Linked DNA regions of Ovis aries. The protein of the gene in region 1 interacts with the protein of each later gene in a pairwise test. Links are inferred from orthologs where the notes say so. Each region holds a gene or a part of one and is shown in the gene's direction. Other genes may lie near its edges. The genes, in order: MTUS2, DMRT3 and PRKAA2.

Region 1 (3,652 bases):
TTGCTTTCTATACTGATACGATAAATTTGATGACGTCCACCAGGTTTCTCCATTGTGCAGATGAAGTTTTCCTTTGTAGGAAATAAAGCAGTCTGGAGGGTGGTGCTCTACGATTGTGTAAATATCCTGTTTCCCAACAGTTCTGCACTTGGTGATTTTAGCAACCGTTGGTGTCCCTCATCCAAGATAATTATTACTCTGGTGAATACAAAGTGGTGATTTTTCTAATTGTCTAATTTTTCTTGTATCAGTTGGTATTCTTCTGTGAAGAAAAACCTTCCTTTCTCGTCCGCCCTTTTAAATCAGTATCAGTGTGAACTTGTGGATTTTTAAAATATAAACTTAAGATTTAATGTGTGTTTATAATCCATTTCTAACATTAATCATTTCGATGTTATGTTCTGCCGTGCCCCTATCAGAAAAGCTCTGGAGAAATAGCATCTGGGTTGAGTGAATGAAGTAATGGTAGGAAAGTGATGAATAAATCTGTTTACCGAGAGTTTCTGTCAATCTACTGTACTTTTCTTTTTATTTCTCTCTAGGTCTCATGGACTAATTGGCTCTCATTCAGCCGGAACCTAACAGATAAGTCATCCTTCTGTGTGTGAAGACAATGCTCAGTTTTAAGACTGCTCTGAAAATGATGAAAGCAGGATCGCCCCAGTGACGCTGTCAGGGGGCAACAAGCAGCTTGAGAATTTCCTCTTCTCCAGGTAGCAGCTTGAAGGAGACCCTTTTCCATTAAGGAGGACTGCATGGCAGGCAGCCCCCACTGACGGCTGGAAAATGAGCGTTCCCGTGGCGCCTAAGAAGTCATGTTACAGTGAATTGCGGGACAGCAGAAATGGAGCAAAAAATAATAACGACCGAGTCCTGAGTTTGGGAGATGCCAATGCCAACCCCATTGTGTTGGAGGTTGGCTCCTCTTCTGACAAGCCTGCCACGTGTGCTGTGCCAGAGGAAGTTGGAAATGCAAATTCGAGGGGACCAGAGAGTAGTCCCCGTGTCCCGAAGGAGTTTCACCCACTTCAGGGCTTTGCAAAGGCATCTCAGGCTGGCCCCACCGGCCTGAAGGATTTTAAATTCTCTCCGATGGCTCAGAGAGAACGGAATGAAGAGTCTGAGCTGGAGAGAGGCGCAGACCACCTGCAGGTCCTTCGTGGTCTCCAGGGACCAGGTGTGCCGAGTCGGAGGACTGTCATGGGCGAGTCCAGCCTAGAGGTTCCAGCTAAGCGGGAGGCTGATGTCCCCTGGCCTGTCGCCAAGGATAAGTTGGCCAAGACCCTTGACAACGAGGAACTGAGGAGGCATCCTTTGGAAAGATGCAGCAGTTCTGCTGCAGCAGTGGACGTGCTCACAAAGGAGTGGGCTGGGGGCCTGGCCTGGCCGCTTCCACAACCCACAGGGCTGGGGTCCCCAGAAGCCCCGCATCCGGTGCCTGGCGGTGGCGAGGGGCCGCCGAAGATGGGGACAGCCCCTTCTCCAGGGCTGCCTTGTCCTCCGGCGGACGGGACCTCAGAGGGAAAGGGCGCACGTCATCCTAAACCATCTACCTCAGTAACCATGGAGACCGTCCCCTTAGAGACCCATCCAGAGAGGGGACGGGTACCCAAGCTCAGCGCCCAGAGCACAGCACCTTCTGCCCATCCAGAGGGTGCTCTTGATTGCTCTCCAGCCTCAAAGGATGTCCTGAGGAGGCCAGAAGCACAAGTGGGTCCAGGAAAAGTGGAGCCCAAGACAGAGCTGAAACCTGTCCAGCCCAGGGCTGTGCAGGAGCTCAAGTCCACCCAGGTGGGCGAGCTGGGGTGTCGTCAGGGGCATGGCATGTCACCTCTTGGGAGAAAGGAGCCAGCTGGGGAGGCGCAGCCAGGAGCCTCAGCTGCTGGGTTAAGCAGCCTGGCACACAGCGTTCCCCACCCCCTGGACACAATAAGAGACAGAGATGAGCCAGAGAAGGGAGGTGAGGACGGGTCTCTCCGAACCACCCTCAAATCGAGCCCCGGTTCCTCACAAGCTGCGGATCAGCAACCCATGGCCATAAGTTTGCCAGGTGCAGCTCGGAAGCTGGGTGAAACAGTGCCCAACGGCGTGTCAGCAGGGGATGGTCATGTAGCTTTTGTTCCTGGAGATTCAACTGACAGCAAGCCCTCTGTTGCCAGTGACGAGAGAGGCGTCCTGGGAGGTGGGAACAGTGTCAACACTATGGTTTTTGACTCAGATTCCTCTGTTGGAGAGAGCAAAACCGGGGTCCCTGAGCCCCCCAACCCTCCAAGCAGCCGCTCAGAAGCCGAGGAAGGCCAAGAGGTCTCTCTATCTCTTGCAGAGACCAGGAACCATCTAGAACCTGCAGTAAAGACTGAAAGCACCTCCCCAGTGAGGGCAGATGTCCTTCTTGGTGTCCCTGCGTCCCTCCACCCAGAGACAACTGTGAATGTGGCCCGCCAGCCCCCGCCACCCAGCAGCCGCTTTCAGGACTTGGGCACATCAAGTGTGGATGTAGGGTCCCCCCCGGCTGCCCTGCCTCCCGCTGACAGCACCGGGTTGTCACACACCTCCCCAAAAGTGCCTGCCAAGAACGCCTGCCCTGGGGGCCTTCCCCGTCCTGAGGACACACCCGCCTCACTGGAGGGGACAGTGGGCCCCCTGGTTGAGAAGAGGGAAGAGCGGGCGGAACCCAGGCCCGTCGTGATGCCCAAGCCCAAGCACGTGAGGCCCAAGATCATCACCTACATCCGGAGGAGCCCGCAGGCTCTCGGCCAGGTGGACGCGTCGCTGGTTCCTGTGGGGCTCCCTTATGCCCCGCCTGCGTGCAGCGTGGCTCTCCCCAAAGAGGACAAGGCGGCGGGTGCCGACCTGAAGCCGGCTGCCGGCCTCTACGAGAAGTTCAAGCCAGACCTCCAGAGGCCCCGGGTGTTTAGCTCCGGACTAGTGGTGTCGGGGATCAAGCCCCCAGGACATCCCTTCAGTCCAATGAGTGAGAAGTTTTTGCAGGAGGTAAGAGAATGTCATTGTGAGACAGTCTGTGAGTTGAACATCCTGAAGTTCGTGAGGTGTTTTCAATGAATCGTGAAAGCAGAGTGTCCTCTTTTAGCAAATTATAGATGATGATGGACGTATTTGTGTAGAAAGGCGTGTTTTGAACTAGAGCAGATTGCAGGCAAATGAACGGTTTCCTCTGGAAGAGACTGATGACCAGAATGAGGTGGATCTAACATCTAAAGGGATTCTTTTAAATTCCACCTGACATAATACATAAAAGTTGGAAAAGCGTTTAAATTGGCTTCCACATTTAAATTGTTCTTGTTGTTGTTCAGTCACTCAGTCGTGTCCGACTCTTTGCAACCCCATGGCCTGCAGCACAGCAGGCTTCCCTGTCCATCACCATCTCCTGGAGCTTGCTCAAACTCATGCTCATTGAGTCAGCAATGGCACCCAACCATCTCATCCTCTGTTATCCCCTTCTCCTCCTGCCTTCAATCCTTCCCAGCATCATCAGGGTCTTTTCCAATGAGTCGGCTCTTCGCATCAGATGGCCAAAGTGTTAGAGTTTTAGCTTCACCATCAGTCCTTCCAGTAAATATTCAGCGTTGATTTCCTTTGTTTTTGATCAGTTGCTTAGTCATGTCCAATTCTTTGCGACCCCAAGGGCTGC
Region 2 (2,379 bases), on another chromosome or scaffold:
AGCTGGTGTTGCTTGCCCTCTGGTGCGGGTTATAGGCAACCAAGTCTTCTGGGATCTCGAGTGGCCTTTTAAGAGAGGTTTCCACGGATGGAGGCTTCTTTTACTCTGGCAATCATATTGACTTGTTATTCTACATGGTATCCTGATGAAACATACTGATGACTAGTTCACATATAACACAGAATCTGCCTAGGGAAAATGGTTTTAAAATATTAAACTTTCCCTTGGGTGTATGGGTCGTGCACCAGCTGTTGCAGCTGTTGATGTCCTTTGGTGGCACCAGACCCCTCATTTGGAGAAGAGGAGCTAGAAAACAAGCCCAAGCTCATTTCTCTGTTTGTCCCTGGATAGTGTTTATCCCCAGTCTGATCTGCATTTAGACTGTTACTGCTAGATAGCCGCATCATCTGTGGCTGTGGCTCTTTCTGCACCGTTTTGTGTTGAAGGCAAGCTTTCCTGAACAGCCCATTCTGAGAAATCACTCTGATGTCTAGATCCTTACTTACAGGGTTTGTTCGTTTTTTTGCCATTTGCTAATGACATAGTTTGGATAATTTTCTGGCTTGCAGTATGTTATAACCCACAGAGAAGCAGTTCCCCTTGCAAAAAGGGCAGGTAGGGCCCTCTCCTGAGCACATGTGTTCTTTGCACACCAGGAGAGGATTCAACCAGCTGTTCTCTGCTTTTCAGATTTGACAGAAGAACGACTTGGGGATGGCAGCACCGCTGACAATGCTGAGACTTTCAGCGACAAAGACACGGACCAGAGGAGCTCCCCAGACGTGGCCAAAAGTAAGGGCTGCTTCACACCTGAGAGCCCCGAGATCGTGTCAGTGGATGAAGCAGGATTCGCGGTCCAGAAGAACGGGGCCAGCTCAGAGAGCCAGCCCGACAGCCCCAAGTACCCCGGGGAGCAGAGCCACCTCCTGATCGAGGGCCCCTCGGGGACCGTGTCTCTGCCCTTCAGCTTGAAAGCCAACAGACCGCCCCTAGAAGTGTTGAAAAAGATATTCCCCCACCAAAAGCCGGCGGTGCTGGAGTTGATCCTCAAGGGCTGTGGGGGTGACCTGGTGAGCGCCGTGGAGGTCCTGCTCTCCAGCCGCTCGTCCTCCTCGGCTGCCGACCGGACTTCTGCTGGGGAGCCTGAGGGCCTGGTGCTGCCCTCCAACGGGCACCTCTTCGAGCACACCTTGAGCTCCTACCCCCTCTCCTCATCTAAGTGGTCTGTGGGGTCGGCCTTCAGAGTCCCCGACACGCTGAGGTTTTCTGCCGACTCCACCAACATGGTCCCCAACCCCCTGGCCGTGCCCCTTCAGCACCCGTTTCCCCAGCCACCCCGGTACCCTCTGATGCTGAGGAATACTCTGGCGAGAAACCAGTCGAGCCCCTTTCTGCCCAACGATGTCACCCTGTGGAACACCATGACGCTGCAGCAGCAGTACCAGCTGCGGTCCCAGTACGTCAGCCCTTTCCCCGCTAACTCCACCAGCGTCTTCAGAAGCTCGCCCGTCCTCCCCGCCCGCACCCCCGAAGACCCTCGGATCGCTATCCCCGACGACGGGTGTCCCATGGTGTCAAAGCAGTCCATTTACACCGAGGATGACTATGACGAGAGGTCTGACTCCTCAGACTCCCGAATACTCAACTCGTCATCTTAAGGCGCCGCCCGATGGGGGTGACCAGGTGACATTTTCTGCGCATTTGAACCCTGAGCCCCTCCCCTTGTGGAGAGGCCACGTCCTGTGTATACCTTCTCCTGCCATATGACAAAGTGACCCTGCTTGATTCTAGACCTTAGCAATAAAAAGCATAACTTATTTAATTTCTTGCACTTCACTGGAAAATGCCAAATAGCTCTGCTCTGTGGCTTTAGTGCTGAATGTTGGTTGTCAAAGAGTCTGATGCTGAGAATGGTCTGGGGAAAGCCTGGGCCCATGGAAGATGTCTTTGGGGAGGTAAAGCCAAAGGTCGGCCCCACCCCTAGACTCAACCTGGAATCTTCAGTAATGTAGTGTACTTGAATGCAATTCTGTAAAAGAGGATTCCTCACGATAATGAAACCTAAAGAAGTGGTTTGGTTGCAAATGGACTGTAAACAGGGGCCTCATATTCCTATGCTAAAAATCCTTCTTGCATTTTAAAGAGAGACTGCACTTAATAGAGTGAACTACTCACATGCTTATTTAAGCTTGGACAGTTTTCAGAGACAGACTCCATTAAAAATTATTCTTTTCACATGGCTGACTCAAAACATGTGTAATGTCAGTGTAAACCCAATCACAGCTGTGAACTGCATGAAATATATTGTGAAATGAACACAAGATTAAGCTTTGTCAGGTTAATGTAGCATGCTAAGGACTCTAGGAAAAAAATAAACTA
Region 3 (3,752 bases), on another chromosome or scaffold:
AGACTTACAATTTGAAGAATGTGACCTTGAAACTCTACTGTCATACACATAGGTAAAAGATGTTCAACTAATCCTTAAACATTTATTCCCAATAGGCAAATGATTTTTAAGCACTGACAGGCAACACTGGAAACTAGGAGACTGAAGGAAGGAAAGAAGAAAGGAGAGGAGAAGGGAGGGCGGGAGGAGTAATCACTGTACTTACTGTATCTTGGCAGTTTTTAAGGCTCTGCCTGCTTCTAGTTTCCTCTTGCCGTTTCCTCACTCCCCCTTCAATCTTTACCTTTAATTTGTGCCCTTACATTGCCCTTGTCCCTTAGGTAGCTTACTCCCCAAGCTCACTACGTTCAGTTTCCCGCTTCAGTTTCTTCCACTATTTCCCTCTTGTGCAGCTCTATCACAATTTCTTTGCTATATATACTTGATTAGTTGTGTCTAACTCTTTTGCGACCCCATGGACTGCAGCCCGCCAGGCTTCTCTGTCTATGGGAATTCCCAGGCAACACTATCGGAGTGGATTGCCATTTCCTTTTCCCTGGGATCTTCTCAACCCAGGGATCAAACCCTTGTCTCCTAGGCGGATTCTTTACCACTGAGCCTCCTAGAAAGCCCATATATTTATATGTCTAAAATACAGTTGAGCAAATATTGGGACTGATTGGTGAACTTTGTGCAAATTAGTTAGAACGGAGAGCTCTAGAGAGGGTATCTCCTCCATAACTGAGAATTAGACAGAACGTAGAGGAGAATCAGTGAAGCCAGCAGAGTTGGCTTTTTTTGTTTGTGCCCTGGTGACCTGTATGAAAACAGTGCGTGACTCCAAAAGCTTCCTTGTGACTCTCCTCCGACTGACCTTCGATCAAGGCCCTTCCCCACTGCCGCCAGCCCTGACTTCCCTCGGACCCACACACTGCTTTTCACGCCCCTCTCTCCCCACACTTCAGGCCTGTTTCTCTTCCCCAGGTTCTATTAATACTTCCATTGCTTTCCACTCGCCAAGATTCGGCCCAAATCTCACCCTCTCATTCGCACCGTCAGGTTCTGCTAGAGGGCCCCTTAACCCGGCTCCCACCCCAGGGCCCCTCCTCCAGGTAGCGAGGCGACATCCTTCCCCCTCCCCGCTCCGCGCACACCTGTCGGCCTCCGACCTCCCCCGCACCGAGCGCCCACGCTCCCTCCACTGCGCCCCCAGGGCCCTGGCCCCGGGCCCACGCCGGCCTCACGCCCGCCCAGGGGCCTCGGCGCGCCCCCGCCCCTGCCCCCCACCTGCTCGCGTCCCCCCTCCCCCCGCCCCGCCCCGCCCCGCCCCGTCTCGCCTGGTCCCCAAGTCTCGGGCCCCCGCCCCCCGCGGGCCCGCTGCACTGTGGGTAGGCGGCGGCGGTGGCCGCGCAGAGGATCCCGCGGCGGCGGAGCGAGGCTGCGCGCGCCGAACATGGCTGAGAAGCAGAAGCACGACGGGCGGGTGAAGATCGGCCACTACGTGCTGGGCGACACGCTGGGCGTCGGCACCTTCGGCAAAGTGAAGAGTTGAGTACGCCGCGCCTCGCGGGAGGCCGAGCCCCGGAGTCCGGGTGTGCCGGGCCGCGAGCGGGCAGCGGGTGGCGGGGCCTGGCGGCAGGTGGAGCGGCCGCGCCCGGGCCGCGCGGAACCTGGGGACCGAGGGAAGGCAGTGGGTACCGCTTCGCCCCGCGGCAACGGCGGCGTCCCGGCGAGGGGGCTCGGGCGGGGGCGTCGCGAGGTCCTGGGACTGGCGTCCAGCACGCTTCTACTGCCCGACCTTAGTGCCCCCCTCTGAAACCCGGAGATTGGGTTGTTGGGCGAGATGCCTTTCAGCTGGGAGGCTGCAAGGACCCTGAGGAATGACCCACGGTCCTGATGGTGGAGTTCCCATTTCGTGCCAGGTGTCCCGTTAGGTGCTTCACGTGTGATCTCCTGTAATCCTTACAGCAGCTGCAGGTGTTATCTTCGCCTGTAACGTGAGAAAACGGGGACCCCCTAGCAGGGACGTGTTCAAGGTCACACTGAAATTGGCAGAACTGGGATAAAGGTCTAAAATGTCCTCCAATTTTGGCCAGGCTGGGAAGTCCTGCTGTCTGGATTCTTTCGTGCTCCCTGACTCTGGATTAGTAGGGCTGGTAGTTTACGGGGGATCCCCGGGGCGCGAGGTGGGTGGGTCTTTCTGCTGGCCTTGGGAAACGCTGGGATGTACCTGGGTTGGGTCAGGGCTTAGAACTGGGAGGTCTGAAGGTTGCTTGTGTGTGTAAAATGGTTCTAGGAAGGCTTCCAGGATGGAGGGAAAGGAAAAAGGGACTTTGGAGTTGGATCTTGAGGATGTAGGGCTGAGGCCAGAATTGCTAAGACGTACTCTGCTGAGCTCTGTGTTCCTAAGTGATGGGATCCCATTTTGGGTGTAGAAAAACAGGCTGCTTTGATTTTTTTTTTTTTTTTTTTTTACTGGTTACTAGTTAAGTATTGAACTTTCCTGTTTTTCTTAAGAGTCATGTGAGATTAATTAACTTGTCCTCTCTCCAGAACTAGAACCAACTTATTAAAAATACTTCTTTTGGTTGTTGCTTTTTTCTTTTTTCATTTTGCTGAGAAAATGTTGGGTAGGCAGCTTGAGGATTTTATTGAGGCCTCTATTTCCTTAAAAAATCATAATGAAAAAATTTTAAGTTTTAAAAATTATAGTAAATTACAATTTTGTGTTAGTTTCTTCTCTATGACATTGTGAATCAGCTGTAAGTATACATGTATTCCCTCCTTCTTGAGCCTCCCTCCCACTCTGCTAGGTCATCACAGAACGCTCAGCCGTTCTCTGTGCCATACCTTAGCTTCCCACTAGCTAGCTGTTTTACACATGGTAGTGTAGAGATCAATACTACTCTTCCACTTCGTCCAAAAATCCTATTTTAACCTTGAATCCAGGCTGTAAGTGGATAGAAGAGACTCGTTCATTCATATGGTAGGGATCAGCTTTTATTTACTTGCACACATCTGATACCCTTTCTTTTGTTCAGTAAACACTTACTGAGTGCCTACAGTGTGCCAGGCACTGTTCTAGGTAATGGGGACACCCTAGGAACAAAATCATTAAAATCTTTCCTTTTGTGGTGCTTATATTCAAGTAGGGGAAGACAGTAATCACTGTATATATTTGTGTGTGTGTGTGTGTGTGTGTGTGTGTAGTATTTTTAGTGCTGTGAAGACAAGTGAATCGGAGTTTTGTGCAGTTCACAGTTTTCAGTAAGATTGTCAGGCATGGCCTTACAGATAGGGTGTATGTTTATATAAAGACCTCAGGTTTGTAAAATTCTTTCAAGTCCTGTGAGGGCTGTGAAGTCCTTCCTGGCTTAGGTTTGCAAGACCTCATAAAGTGGTAAGTGGAGAGAATATATTTAGAGTGAATATATGAAGATTCAGGAACTGGATTAATGCTGTGACATTACTAAGGACTATTGTGTTTTGATGTTACGCACTCAAGTCTTCACCATCTAGGCATGTACACTTTCCAAGTTATATAATGTATACTGTTCCTTTTCAAATTGCATTAAAAATTGTTGTTTTTAAAAAAATTATTGTGTAACCTGAATATTGGCTAAAATACCCATCAGATAGATCATTTGGTCCATTGTCACAGGACAACTTAAATCTCTTTTTGTATATATCCTTGAACTGACCTAAAATATAAACCAACAGAAGGTACTTGGATTTATGAGAAATCCTTTTCCTGGAAGACTCCTTCCCAGTGA

What was found.
Region 2: the proteins of MTUS2 (region 1) and DMRT3 interact in binary tests that used the Homo sapiens proteins (3 or more experiments, as listed by UniProt). The two-hybrid records come from large-scale screens. The link is inferred for Ovis aries from reciprocal best matches to the Homo sapiens genes MTUS2 and DMRT3.
Region 3: the proteins of MTUS2 (region 1) and PRKAA2 interact in binary tests that used the Homo sapiens proteins (3 or more experiments, as listed by UniProt). The link is inferred for Ovis aries from reciprocal best matches to the Homo sapiens genes MTUS2 and PRKAA2.

The regions. Positions count from the first base shown.
Region 1 is NC_056063.1:31,551,481-31,555,132, reverse strand, and holds part of MTUS2 (microtubule-associated tumor suppressor candidate 2), read left to right. Parts: intron 1-542; 5' UTR 543-786; coding exon 787-2,994; intron 2,995-3,652. UniProt on the Homo sapiens protein: Binds microtubules. Together with MAPRE1 may target the microtubule depolymerase KIF2C to the plus-end of microtubules. May regulate the dynamics of microtubules at their growing distal tip.
Region 2 is NC_056055.1:69,252,270-69,254,648, forward strand, and holds the end of DMRT3 (doublesex- and mab-3-related transcription factor 3), read left to right. Parts: intron 1-690; coding exon 691-1,658; 3' UTR 1,659-1,822; downstream 1,823-2,379. UniProt on the Homo sapiens protein: Probable transcription factor that plays a role in configuring the spinal circuits controlling stride in vertebrates.
Region 3 is NC_056054.1:31,181,321-31,185,072, forward strand, and holds the start of PRKAA2 (5'-AMP-activated protein kinase catalytic subunit alpha-2), read left to right. Parts: upstream 1-1,390; 5' UTR 1,391-1,432; coding exon 1,433-1,526; intron 1,527-3,752. UniProt on the Homo sapiens protein: Catalytic subunit of AMP-activated protein kinase (AMPK), an energy sensor protein kinase that plays a key role in regulating cellular energy metabolism.